Linked DNA regions of Rattus norvegicus. The protein of the gene in region 1 interacts with the protein of each later gene in a biochemical or structural test. Links are inferred from orthologs where the notes say so. Each region holds a gene or a part of one and is shown in the gene's direction. Other genes may lie near its edges. The genes, in order: Lgals3bp, Lgals3 and Lgals1.

What was found.
Region 2: the proteins of Lgals3bp (region 1) and Lgals3 form a complex in vitro, tested with the Homo sapiens proteins (4 studies listed by BioGRID). The link is inferred for Rattus norvegicus from reciprocal best matches to the Homo sapiens genes LGALS3BP and LGALS3.
Region 3: the proteins of Lgals3bp (region 1) and Lgals1 form a complex in vitro, tested with the Homo sapiens proteins (2 studies listed by BioGRID). The link is inferred for Rattus norvegicus from reciprocal best matches to the Homo sapiens genes LGALS3BP and LGALS1.

The regions. Positions count from the first base shown.
Region 1 is NC_086028.1:104,123,540-104,131,334, reverse strand, and holds the start of Lgals3bp (galectin-3-binding protein precursor), read left to right. Parts: upstream 1-3,486; 5' UTR 3,487-3,621; intron 3,622-5,329; 5' UTR 5,330-5,350; coding exon 5,351-5,402; intron 5,403-7,126; coding exon 7,127-7,318; intron 7,319-7,446; coding exon 7,447-7,578; intron 7,579-7,795.
Region 2 is NC_086033.1:23,096,627-23,104,207, forward strand, and holds the start of Lgals3 (galectin-3), read left to right. Parts: upstream 1-3,416; 5' UTR 3,417-3,616; intron 3,617-7,581. UniProt on the Homo sapiens protein: Galactose-specific lectin which binds IgE. May mediate with the alpha-3, beta-1 integrin the stimulation by CSPG4 of endothelial cells migration.
Region 3 is NC_086025.1:112,363,070-112,370,937, forward strand, and holds Lgals1 (galectin-1), read left to right. Parts: upstream 1-2,625; 5' UTR 2,626-2,661; coding exon 2,662-2,670; intron 2,671-3,887; coding exon 3,888-3,967; intron 3,968-5,152; coding exon 5,153-5,324; intron 5,325-5,523; coding exon 5,524-5,670; 3' UTR 5,671-5,732; downstream 5,733-7,868. UniProt on the Homo sapiens protein: Lectin that binds beta-galactoside and a wide array of complex carbohydrates. Plays a role in regulating apoptosis, cell proliferation and cell differentiation. Inhibits CD45 protein phosphatase activity and therefore the dephosphorylation of Lyn kinase.

The DNA.
Region 1 (7,795 bases):
TAAGCTCCACTTAAAGCATTCCACTGCTTTCCAAATCCAAAGCCCCCAAATACACATTCTTTTTTTTTTTTTTTTCTATTTTTCGGAGCTGGGGACCGAACCCAGGGCCTTGCATTTGCTAGGCAAGCGCTTTACCACTGAGCTAAATCCCCAACCCTTCCAAATACACATTCTTAAAAACAAACAAACAAACAAACAAACAAAAACCCAGCATGGTCAGGCCAATCACAGCAATGCTTCAGTCCCTGGTACCAACTTCTTTCTTAATTTTGGTTTTACTGCTGTGAACAGACACCATGACTAAGGAGGCTCTGGTAAGGACAACATTTAATTGGGGCTGACTTACAGGTTCAGAGGTTCAGTCCATTATCATCAAGGTGGGAGCATGGCAGCATCCAGGCAGGCATGGTGCAGGAGGAGCTGAGAGTTCTACATCTCCATCCGAAGGCTGCCAGGAGAAGACTGACCTACAGGCAGCTAGGATGAGGGTCTTAAATCTCATGCCCACAGTGACACACCCACTCCAACAGGGCCACACCTTCTAATAGTGCCACTCTCTGGGCCGAGCTTATACAAACAAACCATCACAGATCCCAACCTGTGGGTCATGACCCCTTTGAGGTTGCACATCAGATCCTTGCACTGCCATTCCCAACAGTAGCAGAATTACAGTGAAGAAGTAGCCATGAGATTATTTATGGTGGGGGTCACCACCACATGAAGAACTGTATTAAAGGGTCACAGCATTAGGAAGGCCGAGAACCATAGAGCAACTGGGCCTGCCACAGACTACACACCCTGTGACAGCCTCTGTAACTTGGCATCCTTTCCCCCAGGAGAAGCCTAGGTCCCGGGCTCCAGGTGATTAATGGGCCTGCCCCAGGATGGAGGCACCAAAGAGACTTGTTGATTCCTGGAGCCACCAGGCAGGCAGTCCAGGTAGGCTGACTGTCCCCCCCACTTCTCTTCTCCAGGGTACACCTCCACTCTCCCTCTCACACTCTCAGCCAAAGGTGACAGAAGCCACAAGTTAGCCCCCGGTTCAACAAGCTTGGACATCTGCAGAGTCAGGCTGATCCCTGCCTGTAGCTCTCTGCGTGGTTTTCCCAGGACTGAATGACCCCATAGCCAATGGAAACTTCACATCCAAGGGAGCCAGTCCTTGAGTGTCCAACCCCTGAACTCTGAGGCCAAAAGCCTTTTGCTGAACCCAAAAGGGCTTTACCCCAGAACTCCCTGGGCCTTTTGAACACCAGATGGCCAGCCCAGGTTGAGCTGCACTGACTGAGGACTCCCCGAGTAGAAACCAAGACCCGGTCTTTTGCTTTTTTGTTTGTTTGTTTGTTTGTTTGTTTGTTTGTTTGTCTGTCTGTCTTTGTGGAGGAAGGGGAATGGGTGTAAGCCAGGCAGAGCCTGTGGTGGTCTGAACCCTAAAGGGTCCCTGGGGCCATTGGGAGGGAGATCGCATTATCGAGTCAGGTGTGTATGGAACCCCAGTGTATCCACTCACAAGTTACTATCTGGGTTTAGAGGACCTCGGGGCCTCCCTCCCTGGTGTCATACCTGGGACAAAGAGCTCAAAGCACAGGATAAAAGGATTTGCCAGACCAGAATTGATGTAGAAGTTTTAATAAAGGACACTTGGGAGGTGGTGCTGGAGAGATGGCTCAACTGATAAGGAATACTCCTTGCACAGAAGCCAGGTATAATTCCCAGCACCCACATGGCGGCTCACAACCGTCTGTAACTCCAACTCCAGGAAACCTGATACCCTGGCCACCATACGCACAGGTGTATGGCACACATGTACATGGTGTGTTTGCCTGCAGGCAAAATGCTCACACACATAAAATAAATGAATCCTTAAAAAAAAAAAAAGTAGACACCAAGGACAGAAACACAGCAGGTAAATTCCTGAACCATACATCAGAAAGGAACAGGGTGATTTTATACCAATTTGAAGTCACCTGACTTTGCCTCCTGGGTCATTTGTGTCGGACGTTTTGAATAGCATTCAAGAGTTGAGTGTCTTGAGGTAGTAAACCTTATGGGGCTGGCAGCTGGGGGAGCCACAGGGAGCTGTTGGGATTTAGGTCACTGTATAAACCTATCATAAGGTTAATTTTAATGTATTTTATATATTTGGAAGTTTTGTCTGCATGGATGTGTGTGCACCACATATGTGCCTGGTGACCATGGAGATCAGGAGAGGGCGTTGTATCCCTTAGAACTGGAGTTATGGTGATTGTGTGCAACCATGTGGGAGTTCCTAAGGGAACCTGGGTTCTTTGCAAGAAGAACAAGTGTTCCTAACCACTGAGCAACCTCCCAGTCCTCTTTGAATTTTATATAATTTTTCACATTTATTTACTGTGTGTGTCCACGTGCATGCACATACAGGCTATGGTAGACATACAGAGATCAGAAGACAGCTTACAGGAGTCAGTTTTCTCCTGCAGTGAGTTCCAGGGATCAAACTCACAGTGTCAAGATTGGCTGGCTGCAGGTTACCATCTCTGTTGTTGTTAGTTTTGTTGTTGTTGTTGTTGTTTTGGGTTTTTTGTTTGTTTGTTTTTCTCCTTTTCTTCCTTCGAGGCAGGCTTTCTTTGCGTAGCTCTGACTAACCTAGAACTTACAACGCAAACCAGACTAGTTTCTAACTATCAAAGATCCACCTACCTCTGCCTCCCAGTTGAAGGTGTTTGCCACCACAGGTATTAAAGAAACCTCTTAAGATTTAAATTTTAAACGTATGTGCACTGCGTGTGTGCATGCATGAGCACACTTGGGTGTATGTGTGTGCCTACAAAGTCTGATCCCATGGAGTTCACTTAAAGCCTGTTCCAAGCCAACCAACATGGGTGCCAGGAATTGAACTCAGATCCCCCGAGAGAGTAGGCAATGCTCTTAACCAGCAAGCCACCCCTAGCTCCTAGCCCTGCTTCCTGTTTTCTATCTCGATTCCCATCCCTCAGGACCACTCTGTGGCCCACATACCTTCCCTCCGAGCATGCTCTGAGCACGGAAGGTTTGTGCAGTGAGCACAGCCAGCCTCCCCAGATCCAGGAAAGGATTGTGCAGCCCACATCCATGTTCACAGACACTGTGTGACCTGAGCCTCTGCTCCCCGGCCCATTTGCAGCATCTTCTCACCATCCACCGGGGTGCCTGCCTGGCCAGCCTGGACAAGTTGCCCCCCACTGTGCTTACCAGGCCAGCAAGGGGATATATCTGTTCCATCCCCTTCCAAGCTGCCCTCCCAGGGTGCCTGCCTGGCCAGCCTGGACATGTATCTGTTCAGCCGCAACATTGTTGTTTTATCAGCTCAGCACAGGGCACTTGGGTGCTTGCCATCCTCCCTGCAGAGCAGCAAGCAGAGGGCTATTAGCCTTGTCTGCAGCCAACCCCAGAGGCAGCCTCCGTCATGTGTTTTCTGGAAATCGAAACTAGACTAGGTTTATAAAGCATTTCCGGGGAAGAGGCTGAGGAAAACCACATGGTGGGGCCTTTCTCAGCTGAACAGTCTACAGAAAGCTTCGAGCTGCAGCCAGCAAGGAGGCTCCAGGACCATCTGCAGCAGCTGCCTGGACAGGTGACTGACTACCTGTCTCTTGCTCCCAGGTGAGTCCCCGCTCTACACAGCATAATTTCTGGGGGGGGGGGTCGCAGAACACAGGAACACCTAGACCTGCAGAGCCTCTAAACAGTTAGGCAGGATGTTCACTGAAAGAACAACTGAAGGGGTGAGTGGGGTACAGTTCATCCCTCGGCCTTCTCCTGGGTCTGTGGATTCTCACCCAGGACTAAACAGACCTACACAGTGGTACTGAATGAGCCAGCATAGGCAGGCACATCCCAAGTTCCCACACAAAGGAGTCAGGCAGAAACAGCCCCTGTCATCCAGTGGACAAAAATGTCCACATACCCTGCAATGTTCCCAAGGCCTAAAGTTCCTGACCCAGCATGGACAAACCCTATAACCACAGCTTATAGTAAATGGAGGGGGTGGGCACCCAGGGCACTTTGCCTGGGACTCAGGTTTCCCGGAACCCAGACCTCCTTGGGATAAGACTGGGTGCACAGCACTAAGGATCAAGCTTCCCACCCATCATCGAGTTATAGAGTTCAGCGGTCAGAGCCTATAGTGAGAATGCTCCCCTGGTAGCCAGACTCCGCCAGCCACACTGAGAAGAGTCCAGTGGCCTTCCCCCATTAACATCCCAGAGTCTATAGGGGATATTAACATGAGGTTTACATAGAGGAATGTATAGCTAACTGGTCTGCCCTATGCCTGGGCTGTAAATCCCAGACTGGGCTGATATTTCCTGGAGACAAGCTTCCCCTCCGGCTGTCACCAGGCAACAGCTTTCTCCTTTCAGCATGAGACTCCCAGGGGGAATTCCAGTTCTGTCCTTGCTTCAGTAGTACGATAACCGAAGGGAAGGGCACGAGTTTGTCTTAGACTATCTTCACCCTTGCCAAGATGGCTACAAGAGCCCTGGATCACTGAGGTCTTGCTCGTGCTGCTCTGGTACAGAATGTCTGGGGTGGAGGACAATCCTGGTGTTTCTACTGATCCTGGGATAACCTCTACTGCTGGTCTCTGGGCCCCTGGTCTGAGTAACAAAACAGTTTGAGATTCGTTGCTGAGTTCCTGCCCAGGAGACAGAGCTCTACAGCACCGTCCACTACCAGCCCCGACCTCACTGCCCTCGGGACTAGAATGAGTCTACCAGGGCTGCTGCACTTTGCTCTCTAGGTCAGCCCCCTTCATGCAGGGCCCGAGAGAAAGTGCCTGGGTGGGGCCCATTCTACAGACAGGCGAGAGAGTCTTAGTATTGAGTCCCTGTGTGTCAGCACCTTGGCAGTTGACCCTGACCCATCTCCCACTCATCCCCAGATCACGCCATGACCTCTGCAACTGTCTCTGTCACTTCCTCCTGAGAGTTCCCTGCTCCAACCTCATCCACAACACCCTCCCAGACTGGCATATCTTGTCCCTTTGGGGCACACCCCGAAGGGGGCTGCTGCCTGAAGATAAGACCAACCGTTGAGGGATAGCCTCTTGTCTATTTCCTGGGTTCTCGTTGCCAGGAGCCCTCAACCCACCTGCCTCATCTGGGGAGACTTACTGTCCTGAAGGTTGTCCCATAGAGCATGTGAGAGAGAGGCCTGCATAAGGGTCATCTCATGGCCATCTGGGCCTTACGGAAGAGGGACCACCCACAACACCATCCTGTCCTCCACAAACTTGACAGGGGACCATGGAACTACCAGTCTCCTCCGGAGAGCTGTGGCCAGTCTAACTTTGTTGTTCCTTCTGCTGCAGGTTGGGCTTCCAGGTCAGGCAATGGCTCTTCTGTGGCTCCTCTCTGTGTTCTTGCTGGTTCCAGGGACTCAAGGTGAGTCCTGCTCAGCGAAAGGTCCAAAACAGAAGTCAAGACCGTGCGCCTTGGTGCCTTGTTCTGTGTGGGTCACACACACACCCCCTCCCCATCTTTGCAGAAAAGCCAGGTGGCATCCTGTAAGACACCATGTCTTAGGATTCTCTGCCATGTGGATCCTCAGTCATTCTGAATGGTGGCCCTGTATGGGCCCTGCCCCCTCCCCGAAATGCAGGTGTTGGAGAAGAGACCAAGGAATCTTTTTTCACCTCATCAGTGGGCCAAGGAGGGAGAGTGCAGCCTGTGTTGTCCTGGAGTTTGAGCTCTCAGGTCACAGGCTAGAATGCCAGAGAGTCCCTGTGGAACAGTTTACAAACTGCACCATGGGTCTGAAAGCCTTGCCCATCCTGGACCCTCAGCTGAGTATCTCGCTCTAGCATGGGTGACCCCAATTCAAGCACCCAGCCGGCATGGACAGAGACGGGAGTCCCAGAGAGCAGGGAGCAGGACTCCCTTGGCTACCTGTGCCTGAGGGCAGACTGTCTCTAGTCCAGTGTTGTCCCCTCTAGGCAGACACTGTAGGGATGAGGTAGCAACTGTATGTGCGAGTTGGGATATCAGCGCTGTGCACCCCGCTCCTCTCTTACAATGGGACCCCACACCACAGCTCCCTCGTCCCCACACTTTGGAGGGAGCAGGCAGCATGGCAATGTCCTGTTGCTGAGTGGGGACAGTCCAGAGGCCATGAGACAGGTGGCACTGGGGTGTCAAGACATCACCCATCGTAAGCCGAGGTTAATCTGCTCTCTGCCTGTGTCTAGGAACCCAGGACCCACCTTCCCCTTCATACCAGCGTTTCAGAGAGCCAGGAAAGAGCCTCTCCCCCCCCCCCCAAGTTCACTCAGTAGGCTGAGAGCCAAGGTGTCCTCTTGGAGAAAAAGACCCAGAGATGAGAGCTAGATAGACCATGGCCTCTGTGGGCTCATCAGAGTTTTCACTCTTCTTCAGTGGGTAACTTTTTTTTTTTTTTTTTGGTTCTTTTTTTTCGGAGCTGGGGACCGAACCCAGGGCCTTATGCTTCCTAGGCAAGCGCTCTACCACTGAGCTAAATCCCCAACCCCCCCCCTTTTTTTTTTTAAAGATTTATTTCTTTATTTACTATATATAAGTACTCTGTAGCTGTCTTCAGACACACCAGCAGAGGGCATCAGATTCCATTACAGATGGTTGTGAGCCACCATGTGGTTGCTGGGGATTGAACTCAGGACCTCTGGAAGAGCAGTCAGTGCTCTTAACCTCTGAGCCATCTCTCCAGCCCCCCCCCTTTTTTTTTAAAGATTTTTTTTATTTGTTTTTATGTATGTGAGTACACTGTAGCTGTCTTCAGACACACCAGAAGAAGGTTTCTGATCCCATTACAAATGGTTGTGAGCCACCATGTGGTTGCTGGAAACTGAACTCAGGACCTCTGGAAGAGCAGTCGGAGCTCTTAACCACTGAGCCATCTCTCCAGCCCTTCAGTGGGTAACCTTACACACACACACACACACACACACACACACACACGAATGCACGTGCGGGGAGGGCCCCTTGAAGTGGTTCAAGGCATCTCCAGAAGGCCACTCCACCCTGTTTGGGGTGACCTTTGCTCAACGAGAGAGCACACAGAGCATTGAGTACACGGGGAGTGGGCATCAGACCAGGCTAGCCCTCCTCCCAGCTAATCTCCACTCTCCTGACAGGTGCAAAGGATGGAGACATGCGCCTGGTTAATGGGGCCTCAGCCAGTGAGGGCCGCGTGGAGATCTTCTACAGAGGCCGGTGGGGGACAGTGTGCGACAACCTCTGGAACCTTTTGGATGCCCACGTCGTCTGCCGGGCCCTGGGCTATGAGAATGCTACTCAAGCACTGAGCAGAGCCGCCTTCGGGCCAGGTGTGGCTGAGGTCCCTGAGTAGTGCTCCTCAGGCATCCCCTCCCGCGCCCCAGTGAGCAGCCCCAGTCCCCGCCAAAGGTCCGGTTCCTACTCCAAGCGGCTCCTGGCTTTCCTTTTGTGCCCACAGGAAAGGGACCAATCATGCTGGATGAGGTGGAATGCACAGGGAACGAGTCGTCACTGGCCAATTGCAGCTCCCTGGGCTGGATGGTGAGCCACTGCGGGCATGAGAAGGACGCGGGCGTGGTCTGCTCCAACGGTGAGCTGCCCTGCCCCCCACCCCCGTGTAAACAAAGTTGCAAGTGGCACTGTGGTTGTGGCTGGGAGCACGCGTCCTCCAAGAGAGCCCCCCGTGTTACTTTAACGCCAGAGAAGCTTCTCTAGCAGGGCTAGATTACGGGCAAGGGACTGTATTCCAAGTACAAATGGCACTGTGCTGGAGGGTTGGCTCTCTAAGGGCCGGTGTCTTACGGCTA
Region 2 (7,581 bases), on another chromosome or scaffold:
TCTCTATGAGAGTTACCGTCAATGTGGTTCTGTTTATATTTCCCTAGGGCTTCGAGTTTTGTGGGGCATTTTTCCTTATTTGGCACAGAGTAGCTAGTTTCTGGGAAGTTTCTCCTTCTGGCTGTATTTCATAATTCTTCACGCTTCAATTTTTATTTCATTTAGTTATTGGTGTGTGGGAGGACATGTGCCTGTTGCGGCCCATGAATGGAGGTTAGAGGACAGCGTGCTTGAGTCAGTTTTCTTCTCCTGCTGCCTGGCCCCAGGGGCTTGACCTCAGGCAATCAGGCTCGGTGGGAGAGACACCTTAACTTGATACTCCATTTTTAACCAGCCTCCAACTTGATGGTCTGTGTCCATTATTTTCCTATTCTATTTCCAGCCGCCTTCTCCAATTTTAATTTCCCTGTTTAAAGACTGACTACTGTTCTCTCTCTCTCTCTCTCTCTCTCTCTCTCTCTCTCTCTCTCTCTCACACACACACACACACACACACACACACCTCCTCGCTCTGTATGGAGCTGCTGGCGGGGGGGGGGGGGTTGGCTTGTTCATTCGTTTACTAAGTCAGACTCCTAACATCTCTGTATCAGAAGAAACCAGGTGACTGAGTGAGACTCCAGGTCAGGCTTGCCCCTCACTTCAAACAGCACAACCATCCATATCTAGAAGTCATTCCGTGATATTTTATGAGATTGTCTTGTACTTTTTTTTTTTTCAAAGAGTTTATATAGGCTTTGGGCTGGGTTCTAAAGAGTCATTTACTGCTCCTATACAGATCGTAAACTCCGGACACTCCTTGATATATAGCAAGACCCTTTTGCTAGCTTTACTTGGCATAAAATTGGCGTAAAAGTGTTCTTTTTGATGGACAGTGAAGACATAAGTCTGACCTCATGATTCAGCTTGGCATAAGAAGTAAGCCTTCTAAGTAACGAAGACACAACTTTAATCGATCCTTAAAAATGACCAACGATTACCCACAGGGCAAGAGTGTGTGTGACTCATCTCTTATCTCTATAGCAACCTTTTCGGCTGTCCACTTCTAGCTAACCTTCAGAGAGTGTCTCATGATTCACAGTCCTAAGACTTTAAGTGTTTTCCTAAGAGACGAAAGACATTCCTCTCAGCCCATCCTGTTCAGTACCCACACGCTAATCATCCACACATGACTCATTCAAACTAATTGGTTGCCAGGCTACCTGTGTAGAGGAGAGTTCATGGCGTCCAAATGCTTCTCCAGCTACACAGTGACTTCCGTGTGTGTGTGTGGGGTGGGGGGCAGCAATGAATGCATCCCCAGCAACAGGCTCTGCAGAGCTTGTAAATCTATCCTAGAGACCAGAGCAGGCCTCCTCAGCGCCACTGCTGAGTGAGGGTTTGCGTGCAAACTCCCTCTGGTTGTGGGAAACTGGCTGAGACTATCAATTAACACACCAATAATTGATTACCTTAGTGCTTACAGGAAATCCAGGGAGCCAGGTAACACTTGGCCTGCTCCATGGTTTACATAAGCCAGTGATTGCTTGGGGTTTTTAACTTTTGTTTTTGAAACAGGGATACCGTGTATCCCTGGTGGCCTCTAGTTCAGGGATACAGATCAGGCTGGCCTTAGACTCGAAGGTATCTGCCTGTTTCTGCATCCCAACAGCATGCAGATCCCAGGAGGGTTAAGGGCAGGAACCACCACACCTACATAAAAATAAAACATTCATTTATTTCTTTTTTTTAAATATTTTTTATTCACTTTTTATTTATTTGAGTACAATACTGTCCCTGTCTTCAGACACACCAGAAGAGGGCATCGGATCCCATTACAGATGGTTGTGAGCCACCATGTGGTTGCTGGGAATTGAACTCAGGACCTCTGGAAGAGCAGTCAGTGCTCTTAACCACTGAGCCATCTCTCCAGCCCCATTCATTTATTTCTAAAATTTTATTTACCTGTTTTAATATTTTAAAGTGCATTTCTTTTTTTGCACATATGCATGTGAGCATGTGTATGTATGTGGGTTAAAGGACAACAACATTTAAGAGCTGGTCCTCTCCTTTCCTCGTGAGTGAGTTACAGGGATCAAACTAAGGCTGTGAGGCTTTGCAGCAGGTGGCCTTAGCGGATCATTCTTAACTCTCGTACCCGTATTTTCTCATGTCTAAAATGGGGTTAGTGAGCAAGGGCACAGTGAAAACAAACTGAACCGAACTGACTCTGTGGGTGGAGAAAAATGGGGCTCAAACCACCAAGGCAACAAACAGCCCCCCACCCCCCGGGGTGGGGAGAAGTCAGAAGAAGGGGGGGGAGCGGTTTGAGCTGTTACAGGCTGTTGGGATTGACAGGGAAGTAGATACCCTTGCCCAAGGTAGTTGACATTTGGGGGCAGACTAAGGGAGATTCGTGGTCAACAGAAAACACTTCTAAGCTTCTGTTTGATCGGCCAGAGTCTTTCTGTTTAGGACCAGCGCTGACATTTTTCGGGGACTGCTTTGGACCTAATAGGATTAAAATAATGCCAAATCCATAAACGTATTAAAGCCCTAGGCACAGGATGGGGTGCATACCCATTTGGTGGATGTTAGCTGATGCTATCTGAAACCGGGGGAACATTATCTTGAATATTCTTAACAACGTCACTCAGTTTTTATCTATATAAATGCTTCCGAACTGGTTATCAGCCTTGTTGCAAAAGCGGCTGTTTCTTGTAAAAACTTTTCATACAGACCGAGCTACACCCTGTTCCCTTGATTTAACTTTGTCGTGCTGTACTCTCCTATAATCTTTGAGAAAACATCTTGGGGGGGAGGCGCCTCTTACATCTCAGATGTGTCAGGGACACCTGGTCCTCCCTCCCCTCACACTCAAAGTCACTGCACATTTCTAGGGAAGGCTTCCGGTGAAGGGAATAGGGGCAGGATGAGACCATGAGGGGCAGTTTCAGACGAGGGAATCGGGTGAGTGTGAGAGTTTGGGTGTGGACAGCCAGGGTCCACTGTCCGGCACAGGTGAGGGACATAGGCTGGCGGGTGTGTCCCTGTCCACCACGGGGAAGCTCCGGGGTCCGCAGGGTGCGGTCCAGCCAGGCGCCTGCAGGGCGAGGGATGCTGCCCCGCCCCAGGAGGGCGGGCCCGGGCAAAAGTGTACTAGAAGCCGCCGAGCCACCGCCCTGCTCTAACAGCTAGCGGAGCGGCAGGAGGAGCACTAACCAGGTGAGCGGCGCGGGGCGACGGGGCGAGGGGACCGGTGCTGCACGGTGCACCGAGAAAGGGCTGGGCTCGCGGGAGATGGAGGACCCAGGCTCTGCAGCCCGGGAGGTGACCTCAGGGTCCCAGGTGCCGGTCCACCGCCCTGGTTCTCCTGCGGGTAACTCTCGGAGAGAGTTAGTCACGACCTAACACACTAACTCTCTTTGGCACGGCAGGATGCCAGCGGGCCCCGGGCACGCCTTCGAAGCCCTGAGCTCGAGTGAACCACAACCTACGGAGATCCACCTTGTAGCTGGCTCCAAGCGGTTGCCCCTAGCTTGGCCATAGGAATCAGGTGCCACTCTTGGCACGTTGCGGGTGGGAGTTTGAGGACTCGGCAGACATTGCCCTGCTTTCAGGCCAGCAGGCTCCTTCGGTGAGTCAGGTTCAGCGGAGGTAGGAGCTACAGCCACTCCCTAGATACTGACCACACACACTGTCCAGGCTCTAGTGCGCATGTGCCGGGATGGAGAACTACAGTAACCTCTAAAATTCGTTGTAAGCCAAGTGACTTATCCCTGACCGGTGCATATTTGTGCAATAAACTCTAGGTCTGGGTGGAGGAAGTCTTGGGTGTGGTGGTGTTTGTTTCAGAATGCAGAAGCTAGAGGCTTTCGAAAGTTGCATTTATCCCGAATTATCTGTTACTCCAACAGGAATGCGGGAAATCGATGATGGGGGAATCGCGGCTGTGGTTTAGGCTAACCCTAGTAGGAAGCAAGTGACCCCTATTTTTAGAAACTAGAATATTAGTAAAGCAATCCCTGGAGAGTAGGGTTTCTGGATGATAACAATTGGACTTAGTGACCCGGCTAATTCTGAGAAAAACAACAGGAATCACAATGTACAAAAACTCACCAATTTCTAACATTCCAAGTTGTTTGCTTCAAGTTTATACTTCCTTATTTTTATTTATTTACTTTAGGGGGGGTTGGAGGGGAAGGGAGAGTGTATTAGTTAGGGTTTTACTGCTGTGAACAGACACCATGACCAAGGCAACTCTTAGAAGAACAGCATTCAATTGGGACGCAGTCCATTATCATCAAGGCGGGAGCATGGCAGCTAGGACGAGGGTCATAAAGCCCACACCCACAGTGCCACACCTACTCCAACAGGGCCATACCTTCTAATAGTGCCACTCCCCGGCTGAGCTTTTACAAACCATCACAGGGAGGCAGGATGCCACTGCAGCCTAGGCAGGTCTGCAATTCACTACATAGCCCAGGCTGGCTTTCAATTTTCAATCCTGTCTCAGTGTCCTAAGTGCAGGGACCAACGATGTTAAACTACCACCCCCAACTGTTTCCCTAAATATTGACGTTTAATAACGAAAAGCTTGCTTTTCTGCAACAATAGCCTTTGGTGTGGGGGTGGTGCAGGTCAAGACCTTGAGACTGAAAGAATTTTTTGTTCAGACAAGGTCTTCCTACGTGGTCTAGGCTGGTTTAGAACTTGTGATTTTCCAGGCCAGTACAACCACACCTAGCAATTGTCCTCTTGGTCACTGATACTTTTTGCTTTGTTTTGCTTGTTTCTCAAGATAGGGTCTTACAATATAGCCTTGCTTGGCTTCACACTCAGTTCAGAGCTCAGGTTGGCCTTGAACCTATGGCACTCTCTCTACCATGGTTTCCTGAGTGCTGGGATTATAGATGTGGCCATCTTTACCCTAGACTCTTTTCCTAAGATAGTCACACTTCTCTTTGATGGGGACTAGCTTCCTAAATTCACAATGTTTAGGAGTTTGGTTTGAAATCTGCACTCATTCCATATTCTGGAGAGGACTCTGATGGGGTCTTTCAGGCCTATGCTTAGAAGTGTTTAATGGACAGCTCACTAAATTGTACACAAAGCAGAAGGGGTAGAGAATTGCTTGAGGATTGGCTCGAGGGTTCTCAATCAGTGAGAGAGTTCACTGGGTCAAAAGTGTTGGTTTATCATTTTTCAAGATGGGGGTCTCACAAGTAGCACTGGCTGGAACTTCATACATCAGGCAGGCCTGGACTTACGATACCCACCTGCCTCTGCCTCCTGGGTCTGCACAGATGCTTTCCAAAGAACCTTTCCTCAGGTGGGTGTGGGAGTGAGCGCCTATAATCCCAACATTCAGGAAGCAGAACTCAAAGAATCTCAAGTTCGAGGCCAGTGTAGACTACATGTAGAATTCCAAGCCAGCCGGGGCCAAAGAGTAAGACAGACCTGCCTTGAAATAAATAAACAAGCTTCTTACTTCTTGCCAGTGAACTCGTGTCCTAGGTCAGTCTTATTGACGATTCGGGTGCCTATTTGCCCAGCACCCTCAGTAGCCAAAATCTAAGTCTTCGCTACAACAGACACTGCACACACATTCACAACACCACACACACACACACACACACACACACACACACACCCCTCAGACACACACAGAGAGACAGACAGACACACACCCCTCAGACACACAGAGACAGACACACACAGAGAGACAAACACACACAGAGAGACAGACACACACAGAGAGACAAACACACACACAGATACACTTCAATTTAAAAAAAATCTATATTTGAGAAGTAAATACTGTAAAGAAAATTCTAACTAAAAACAATGAATACTTTTTTTTTTGGAAAAATGCAGTGTATTGGTTAAAATGTGGTTTTTCTTAACAATGTGGCTGTGTGCAAAAGCATTCTATACCCAGCAGCCCGTGTATTGACTCACTGAGTGAATGACTCACGAGTCACTGAGTGAATGACTCACGAGTCAGTGTCTGCCCAGAGCTCCTTTTTATTTTAAATCTGTTTACTATTTCAGTCGTGTCGCTCTGGGTGAACCAACAAGCTGAATTTTCAGGGATGTAACTAAAAAGTTCCAAGGATTCTATTTTAAAATATCAAAAATGTACAGTTTTAAACAAATATAGGTCAGACTTGAGTTAGGGTCAGGAAACTTGGGCTCTTGTCCCCAGGATGCCAATGCTTTGGGCCACTGAATGAGCTCTCGGATTCCTCACTTCACAGTGGGAATATTTTCTCTCCAGCCAGCGTTACCAGATTGCTAACAAAAGAACAGCTCAGTGAAAGTTCTCTGGGAACTGAAAATCACAGTGCAGGGAGGGCGTCGTTACCCTGACATCATCCAAAGGCCCACGTGAGTCACAGTGAAATCTGCTGCCTTTGGGATTTCATTTGGTCAGATTGGAAGATGGAGCCAGCCAGCCTTGATCAGAGGCTTTGCACAGTATCTCTTAGCGTTTCTAGATGTATCACTCTTTAAACAGAATTTGACTGGTGTTCTGTTAATAGAGCACCTTTTGAGGAGAATGGGAAAGTTCGATTGTTTGTTTGTTTTCCCATGTAGGCTCTTTTGAGTGACATATTATTTAACAGTGATTTGACCCTTCAGACCTAAGAGTTTAACTTGTAAATCTTCAAGTCTCTTAAAATTGAAGCAGGGGTTGGGGATTTAGCTCAGTGGTAGAGCGCTTGCCTAGGAAGCACAAGGCCCTGGGTTCGGTCCCCAGCTCCGAAAAAAAGAATCAAAACAAAACAAAACAAAACAAAACAAAACTGAAGCATATTGGTCCTCAGCTCCAAGAAAAAAACAAACAAACAAACAAACAAAAAACAAACTAAAACTGAAGCGTACTTAAGAGGGGAAAAGGGTTTCTTTATGGGGAAGTGCTCGTTGGTTAGTTTTTAGAGACAGTCTTGCTCTGTGGCCTAGGTTAACGGTAAAGTCAATCCTCCTGCCTCAGCCTAAGATAGAGGTGTGTGGCACCATGCCCAGCAGAGGATTGCTCTTGTTTGTCTGCTTGTGCAGCTTAGACAGGCTCCACATTTCTGCTCCTCTTACCTCAGCCCCCCCTAGACTTGAGGTGGCAGGTGGTGACCATCCTCCCTGGTAACCTTCGCTACTTTAAAATTCCTTGTTGGTTTTTATGGCCCCTTGTATGTAAGTTTATCTAGGGATAGACACTGACAGCCTGAATTGGTAGTCTTCAATTCAACCAGAGGTGATTTTTGGCCTTAGAGATTTTTCCCACCTTTGAAAACATTTTGGGTTGTCACAAGTTACAGGGCAGTGTGCCACCGGCATCTAACGGCTTGAAGCCAGAGATATTGCTGAAGGGGTGGGGAAAGGTTTAATCAGAAGTGCTAAGTTCTCTGTCCACTTTGAGCTTCAAAACCACTTCCTAACAGGATCTCACAATGTAGCGTTGGCTGGTCCGGAACTCGCTCTGTAAACCAGACTGGCCTCAAACTCACAGAAATCTGCCTGCCTCTGCCTTCTGGGTGCTGTGTACCACTATGCCCAGCCTAGGCTTTATTTTCTTAAGAAAAAATCTGAAGCCAGGAACTG
Region 3 (7,868 bases), on another chromosome or scaffold:
GTGTGAGCTGAATACCCCTCTAGCTAACCAGAGATTTTTGGGTAGGAGAGGGGGGCTCTCATAGCCAACCAGTAGAGCTTGGCTTCTACAACCATTAAAGAAATAACTATTTAGTACAATGATCTCTTAGCACCAGTGAAGGTCTGGTTCAGTCCCCATCAAGACTGAGTTGTCACAGGCCTGAAATCCCAGAACTTGAGAGGCAGGAGCAGGAGAAACAGAGGTTTAAAGTCATCCTTAGCACAGCAAGTTGAGGCCAGGCTGTACCACATAAGACTTGTCTAGGGCTGGAGAGATGGCTCATTGGTTAAGAGCTGAGTTCAGTCCCCAGCAACTACATGGTGGCTCACAACCATCTGTAATGGGATCTGATGCCCTCTTTTGGTGTGTCTGAAGACAGTAACATACAGTGTACTCAGATACATAAAATAAGTAAATCTTTAAAAGACTCTTGTCTAAAAAGAGGCTAGGGCAGCAATGGTAAAAAATACACGGGCTGGAGAGATGGCTCAGCGGTTAAGAGCACCCGACTGCTCTTCCAGAGGTTATGAGTTCAATTCCCAGCAACCACATGGTGGCTCACAACCATCTGTAAAGAGATCCGATGCCCTCTTCTGGTGTGTCTGAAGACAGCTACAGTGTACTCATATATATGATAGATAAATAAATCTTTAAAAAAAATACAAAAGGATTAATTCAATATGGCTACCCTGTTTTTGGAGACAGGGTTTCTGTATGTAGTTCTGACTATTCTGGAACCTCAATCTGTAAACCAGGCTGCCTTTGAACTCATAAGAGATCTGCCTGTGTCTACATCCTGAATGCTGGGATTAAAAGTGTGTACCATCACTGCCTGGCTAGCTGTTTGAGCCAGTGTCTCATGTAGCAGATGGTGGCCTGGAATTCCTAATTGTCTTGCCTTAGCTTCCCAAGTGCTGGTGTTACAGGCACGAGCCACCATTGTATGTATTTTAAGTTTAAATATTGGAAGAACTGGCACAGACAGCAAGAGGTATGCATACCTGAGCAGACTGGCCTTGTAAGATGGCTCAAAGAGGTCGCATCGCTTAAGGGGACATGTGGGTTCTCGGGAGAGGGTCACTCCCGCTCCTGGGTGTGGGGGTGTGCTGTACAGAGTTACCTGGGGAACACCGGCCCTCATGTGGGGAAGCAGTTGCCCCACAAGTCTTTGCTGGGCTGGTTTGAGACAGTGACTTGTCTTTGTGCCTTTGGCTCAGAAGGGTTAGGTCAGGAAGGCTGAGTCAAGCGGAGTCTGAGCCAAAGGAAAGGAGACAGATACAAGACAAAGGCAGAGAGGGCAAACTCGCCCTTTCAGTAACCTTCTAGCGCTCGGGAGGAGTCCAGGCGTCTTGGCAAGAGCACCCTTGAAGTGCCTTGTTTTATCTCAAACCCTCCGCTCTGCTCAGTGAGCCTTCCTAAGTCTCATATCACCCCATGACTATCTGTAGCTCCCCAGGACTCTCAGGTAAACGAACACGAAAACCCTTTTCCTGGCCAATGAGACCCTTCACAATCCTTAACTCTCAGCTTTCTTCTACATGGTAAGCAGCTCATTCCCCAGGCATGGGCTTCCAGCCCCTGCTTCATATGCCCATCTTCACCCGGCCTGAGTGAGTGGCTGCCCGATGCCAACACGGTGTTATTTCTTATTTCAGCTCATAGTCAGATTCTTTCCAACCCGTGAATTCTGAGAGCAGAGACTAGGAGAGGCTCATCTTCTCTGAGGCCAGCACGGGGCTAGACACATAGTAGGTGCTCAGGAAAATAACTGCTAAATGGATGGGAAGGGATGACCATGTCTCTTCTCCAAAAATAAGAATGAGACCAAGGGTGCAAAGCTAGCACATCCTGGGCTGCCTCGAGGTCTGCCTCTCAGGCCCCAGGGATGTCACAGCCAGGCCCTGCAGTGGGGTGAAATCCAAGGTATAAGCCAAGGACATAGTCTCAGGCCTGGCGCCCAGCCCAGCCCTAGTGAGCAGCACTGAGCCGCAGCGGCAGTCCTCTGCTTCCGGGGAAAACCCGGGTGGGGCCTGTGCTTTGTGGTCCTCCTCAGCCCTCCGCAGAAGCCCACAGAAGGAGCAATAGTGAGAGCCACACCCTGGCCTGCCAGGCGGCAGCCTCTTAAGAGATTGCTTTAATGCTCTGCAGGCGGGGGTGGGGTGGGGGGTGGGGGGTGGGGGGGTGTCTATACACCCCCTTCCCCACCAGCTGCGCTGGGCCTCAGGGGCTTTCTCCCTGCTGGCCCCAGGCCCCATCCCGCCAACTCTTGAGCTTAACTCATCCTTAAACTATTTTCCACTGGCTCCCCCAATCTCTGCCACAGCACAAATCTTTTTTTAGTGGGAAGAGGGATGAAGAAGAATAAGAGGCGGCGCCTGGACCCTGAGGGAGGGACTAAGAGAGGGGCTCTCCTCTCTGACTGGTCACCTCTGCTCCAAATTGACTTTATAAATCCGTTGACTCCGCTTCTGGTGACCCCCAGCCCTGTCCTGACAGGCAATTGGCTGAATTCTCGGGGAGGGGCGGGACTCACCGGGTCTGATCCAGTTAAAAAGGTCGGAGCGGGCCTGGGGCCCATCTCTCGGGTGGAGTCTTCTGACAGCTGGTGGAGCAGGTCGCAGGAATCTCTTCGCTTCAATCATGGCCTGTGTGAGTGCGGGACCCTCTGTTCCAAGGTCTAGGGGATTGAGCAGAAGCAGATGAACACAGGGGAGTAGCCAATTGGGAAATTGCTTCTAGTCCCAGCTGTGCAGCCTTGGACAGGTGTTTTCTCTGGTCCTCACTGGCTACATCTGTAAAATGGGGGTGGCTGTCATAGTCCCCCCTGAAACTTTCAGCCTCTCTGGGTTAAGAATGTTCTGGATTTCTCTGAGTTGTGGCATGTCTTGCAAGGTCCAGTACTCTGCCACTTTGTAGTTTTCTGAGAAGTGGGAGTGGGAAGGGTGTGGCCTCCGAGGAAGAAGGAGGCAGGGGGACATTTTGTCCAAGGCCATTCACTATTCCCTCTGCTCTATTCTAGAGTCTCCTGACCCCTCCCCCGCTGCAGCTGTCCCCAATCACAGAGCCAGGGCTCAGTTGGTCACCCTCTGCTCCAGAAAACTTTTGGAGAAAAAAAAAAAAACAAAACAAAACAAACAAAAAACACCTCCTGGGCCCGAGATAGGCGGCAGGCTGGTCAGTGGAAGCTGGTCAGGTCTGAGCCGAGGAAACTGCATGCATTTGCACACACAGACACACAGGCAAGCCCTCCGGAATGGGGTTCAAATGTCAAAGAAACTCCTTACCCAAATTAACTCCTGTGCACTCACCCAGGCAGCTGCGCGCAATGCCCAGATAAATGCTGGGCTCTCTAACTTACTAAGTCCACATTGCCACTCTCAGTCTGTCCTCTCCCGCAGAGCAGGCCCGCCTCTTAGCTTCTCCGCTCTAGTTGCTGTGCCTCTGGACTGAGAGCCTTGAATCAGATTGCGGAGGTTCGGGCTGCATTCTCTCAGAGAAGCAGGGCCTTGGGCTAGTAGTCGCCTAACCCTGTCCATCAGCTAAATGAGGATTTAGGTGGTCATATGCCATCTTCCCCTCCACTCTAAGTCCAGATCCCCAAGCTGATGATGGGTGAATCTTCTAGGGCCTGTTCTGTAGGACAGCCACAAGTTTGACACCCTGCTGGGAATGGGGACTCTCTCCAACTGCAGGGATAATCAAGACTAGAACCTACACCCTATCCTGACCACCCATCCTACCTTGGGCTTCCCCTAGGGTTGGTCAGGGTATCCCAGGGTGGAAATGACCCCATTCCCACACCCCAGGCCACTGTAGGTCGCTCCTAACTCCAACCTAAACACAGCTGGGTGGTCTTGTCTACACAGGGTCTGGTCGCCAGCAACCTGAATCTCAAACCTGGGGAATGTCTCAAAGTTCGGGGAGAGCTGGCCCCGGACGCCAAGAGGTGAGATTGGAGAAAGGAATGGAGATGGCAGGGGGCGGGGTTCGCAGACCTAAAATGCGATGGGCGTGACCGGCCAGAACCGCTTCTCCCCCCCCTACCTAACCCCGCCGCGGGTTAATGGGCAGCTGCAGATGCTGCGTTTTCTGGGTGAGTCATTTCCTCGCCGGGTCTGGTCGACCGACATCGCCGTGGTCTCCCCCTCCCTCCCACCTCCTCTCTCCCCGCTGGAGTTTCTTAAACTAAAACAGCTGCTGCCTCAACTCCAGCTTGCCCCCGCCCCTTCCGAGGAGAAGGAGGGGGACGCGGGGGGGGGGGGCGAGGAGGGCGTGGTCACCCTCGTGCCTGCTGCCTGCGGCGGCCCTGCTGAAGCTCAATTTTTTTTCCCCCCCAGAGCTTTCCCCTCATTCATACCGCCTAATTTTTCAGCAGCCATGTGAGCTTGGACCAGTCACCCAAGCTTAAGAGGTCTCGACTTTTTCTCTTTTCTTTTCCAAAGACAGAGTCTGCCTTATAGCCCTGGCTATCATGGAACCTATTATGTTGACCAGGCTGGCCTCCACGGAGACCCACATGCCTCCGTCTCCTCAGAGCTAGGATTGAAAGTGTGCACCTCCGTATTCCACACCCCTAAGAGCCTAGGTTTCCTAATAAAGCCAGAGGAAAAGTGGTGGAGTAGAGAGAGCCAGGGGCCAGTTTCAAGGCGGCAGCTGCTGCTGTCTGTTGTCAGATGTTAGTAAGCTCCCGAGCCCTCTTTCCTCTTCCCACCCATACCTCCATGGTGAGCACTGTTGCCAGGCTCCGTGCAGCAAACTCCGAATTATTATTTGCTCTTTTTTCTCCACAGTGAGGGAACATCTATGGTGTGTCCCACTCTGTGCTCAGCACCAGGGACTCAGATACACAAGATGATGGGTGACAACGATCAATGTCTGGGAGAGAGAGCTCCCTTCAGGACAAGCCCTCTGACTGACAGACAGGGAAGGAAATGTGGGTCAGAGAGAATCTGCAGGGTCTAGCTCAGTTCGCATGGTGAGGCCAGAAGTAGAATCCAGGTTCCTGGCCTTCCTGTTGACTGAGTTTCACCAGGGCACATTAGTGGCCAGCTGCTGATGTTGCATTTTCTCAGTAAGCCAGCCAGGGGCTAGAGCCATGCAACACGGCTTAAAGCCCACCTGTCATCCTTAGCTTTGTGTTGAACCTGGGGAAAGACAGCAACAACCTGTGCCTACACTTCAACCCCCGCTTCAACGCCCATGGAGATGCCAACACCATTGTGTGTAACAGCAAGGATGATGGGACCTGGGGAACAGAACAACGGGAGACTGCCTTCCCTTTCCAGCCTGGGAGCATCACGGAGGTGGGTAGGACTGGGGCTGGGCAGGGCCCTGGGTGGACTGCACAATGTGGTCAGAGGCGGAGGCTGATCCGTCCTGGCTGTGTGATTACCACTGAATGGCATCCCTCTTTGAACATAATGGACCTCACCTATACAGGGGCCATCCCCAGGGCTCTGAGCTGGTCCAGGCCCCAGCTCACTGCCCTTCTCCATCCACCAGGTGTGCATCACCTTTGACCAGGCTGACCTGACCATCAAGCTGCCAGACGGGCATGAATTCAAATTCCCCAACCGCCTCAACATGGAGGCCATCAACTACATGGCGGCGGATGGTGACTTCAAGATTAAGTGTGTGGCCTTTGAGTGAAGCCAGCCAGCCCCAGCCCGTAGCCCCCAATAAAGGCAGCTGCCTCTGCTCCCTGTAACCCAGCCCTTCGTGTGTGAGTGTTTGTGTATGTCTATGTGAGGGGCCCTGCCCAACCTGGTCCATCTGCACTTCCATTCACTCCTCCACGTGTTCTTGGTCCCAGTGACCTTTCTTCTTGTGCTCTCCAGGCTAAGGCGAGCCCAGCACATAGAGGGGGCTTAGTGACCGCAGAGTGTGAACCAGTGTACCACTGCAACAGGGCAGAATGGTGGGAGGTGAACTAATGAACAGAACACAGGACTTCATTTGTTTCCATAAAGGCCAGAAAGGGCATGGTGACACATTCTTGAAATTTAGGAGGCCAGGACAGACACATCGTCGTGTGTTTGAGACCATTCCGGACAGCCTGGTCTACATACTGGAGGCAGCTGGGACTAGCTGTGCAGTTCTGTACTGCTAACTACTTGGGAGACTGAGGCAAGAGGACCACTTAGGGCTAGCTGGGGCAACATAGCATGACTTCATATAGAACGGAGGAATCTTGAACTAGGTAAGGGGCTACAACTGTTGTGTGGCCTTGTGCTTGTTAGCTGGTCTCTCTGTGCCTTAGTTTATCATTTTTATGCAGTTCTCGGGAGGGTCGTGGAGTTAAAGGAGATTTTAGTGGAAGCCAAGTTCTGCTCTGGGTACATCATGGCCAATGCCATGTGGGTAGCTTCTGGTCTCCCTCACACTACTACCTTGTTTTTGCCTACAAAGGGAAGGGGAAGAGACGGTCTCTGAGGGACAAAATGACGCACCAGCAGCTGAGGAGCACATGTGAAGCAGGCTTCCTAGTCCTATGATCCTCGGCTACATTCTTCTGCTGTCAAAGGGCAGCTAGAGGCCTAGGCTAGAAGCTGCTAACTCTGTGGCACTGAACAGATCCCCTCCCTAACAATGGGAATCCAGGATGAGGTCACAGCCCTGTAATGTGGTTGGGGGCTCTGAGTGGGTCCCTTCGGAGACGTGGGGTGAGGAATGGGATGGGAAGGCCCAGAAGCAGGTCTTCCAGAGGGCAGGTGGCTCACTGCAAGCTTGCTCCTGCCTTCCAGAGCAGTGGGTGTCTTCCCCTGCCCTCAGCTCAGGTTCTGCTGCCTCGGGATGTGGTTGTTAGCTGAGGCCTGCCCCATCCAGTGCAATTAACTGCATCAAACCGGTGGGCCACCATTGTTCATCCATACCAGTGTCACCACTTCCCAGGAAACAGCTGCAGGAACTGAGCCAAGGTTCTGGAAGGCTTCAACTATAAACCTCACTGGGCTCTCTCCAGCTCTCAAATCCGGGGTTCATATCCTGAGGCTGGGAGGTGGGTGCCTGTGAGATGTGCCATCTCATTTTCTGGGACAACTGGCACCCTCTTGGTAGGGTCCATCCCCCAGCCTCAGTTTCCCAATCCACAGCAAGATGAAGACTTTTCATGGTGGTGGGTCCAGGAAGTGGGGGTACCCATAGGAGAAGGCCAAAGAGAATGGAATACATAAGCCTTGGGCTCCCATGAAACACACCCCAATCACTGTGCTTTTCTGAGGCTCCCAAGTGTGGCTGTGGAGGAATGGCCCTCTGCTGGGTCAAAGAAAATGTGCCTCAGACTGTCTTCCTGTGTTCACAATTTACCCTAGAAGCTAAACATTGATCTTGAACAAGGAAGGGATGACCTCACAGGGAGGTTGTAAGGCTCACCACAGGTGTGGGGCTGGGAGATGGCTCAGTGGGTAGGAGCACTTACTGCCCTTCCAGAGGACCTGGGTTCAATTCCCAGCATTCAGATAGCAGCTCAGAGCCATCTACAGCTGTCTGTAACTCCAGGTTCAGACGATCAAATGCTTTCTTCTGACCTCCTTAGGGAAAACACCTATATAGTGAAATAAATTACAAATAATAATAATAATAATAATAATAATAATAATAAAGATTATTTGCACGGGTTGCCAGCTTGATGGTGCTTTTACAGAGCTCTGTGAGTTCGAGGACAGCCTGGTCTATATAGTGAGTTTCAGGACAGCCAGGGATATGTAGGGAGACTCTGTCTAAATAATAAAATGAAAATTCAAATTCAAATAATAAATTAAAAAATAAAAAGGGGGGACTGGAGAGGTGGCTCAGCAGTTTAGAGCACTGACTGCTCTTTCATAGGTCCTGAGTTCAACTCCCAGCAA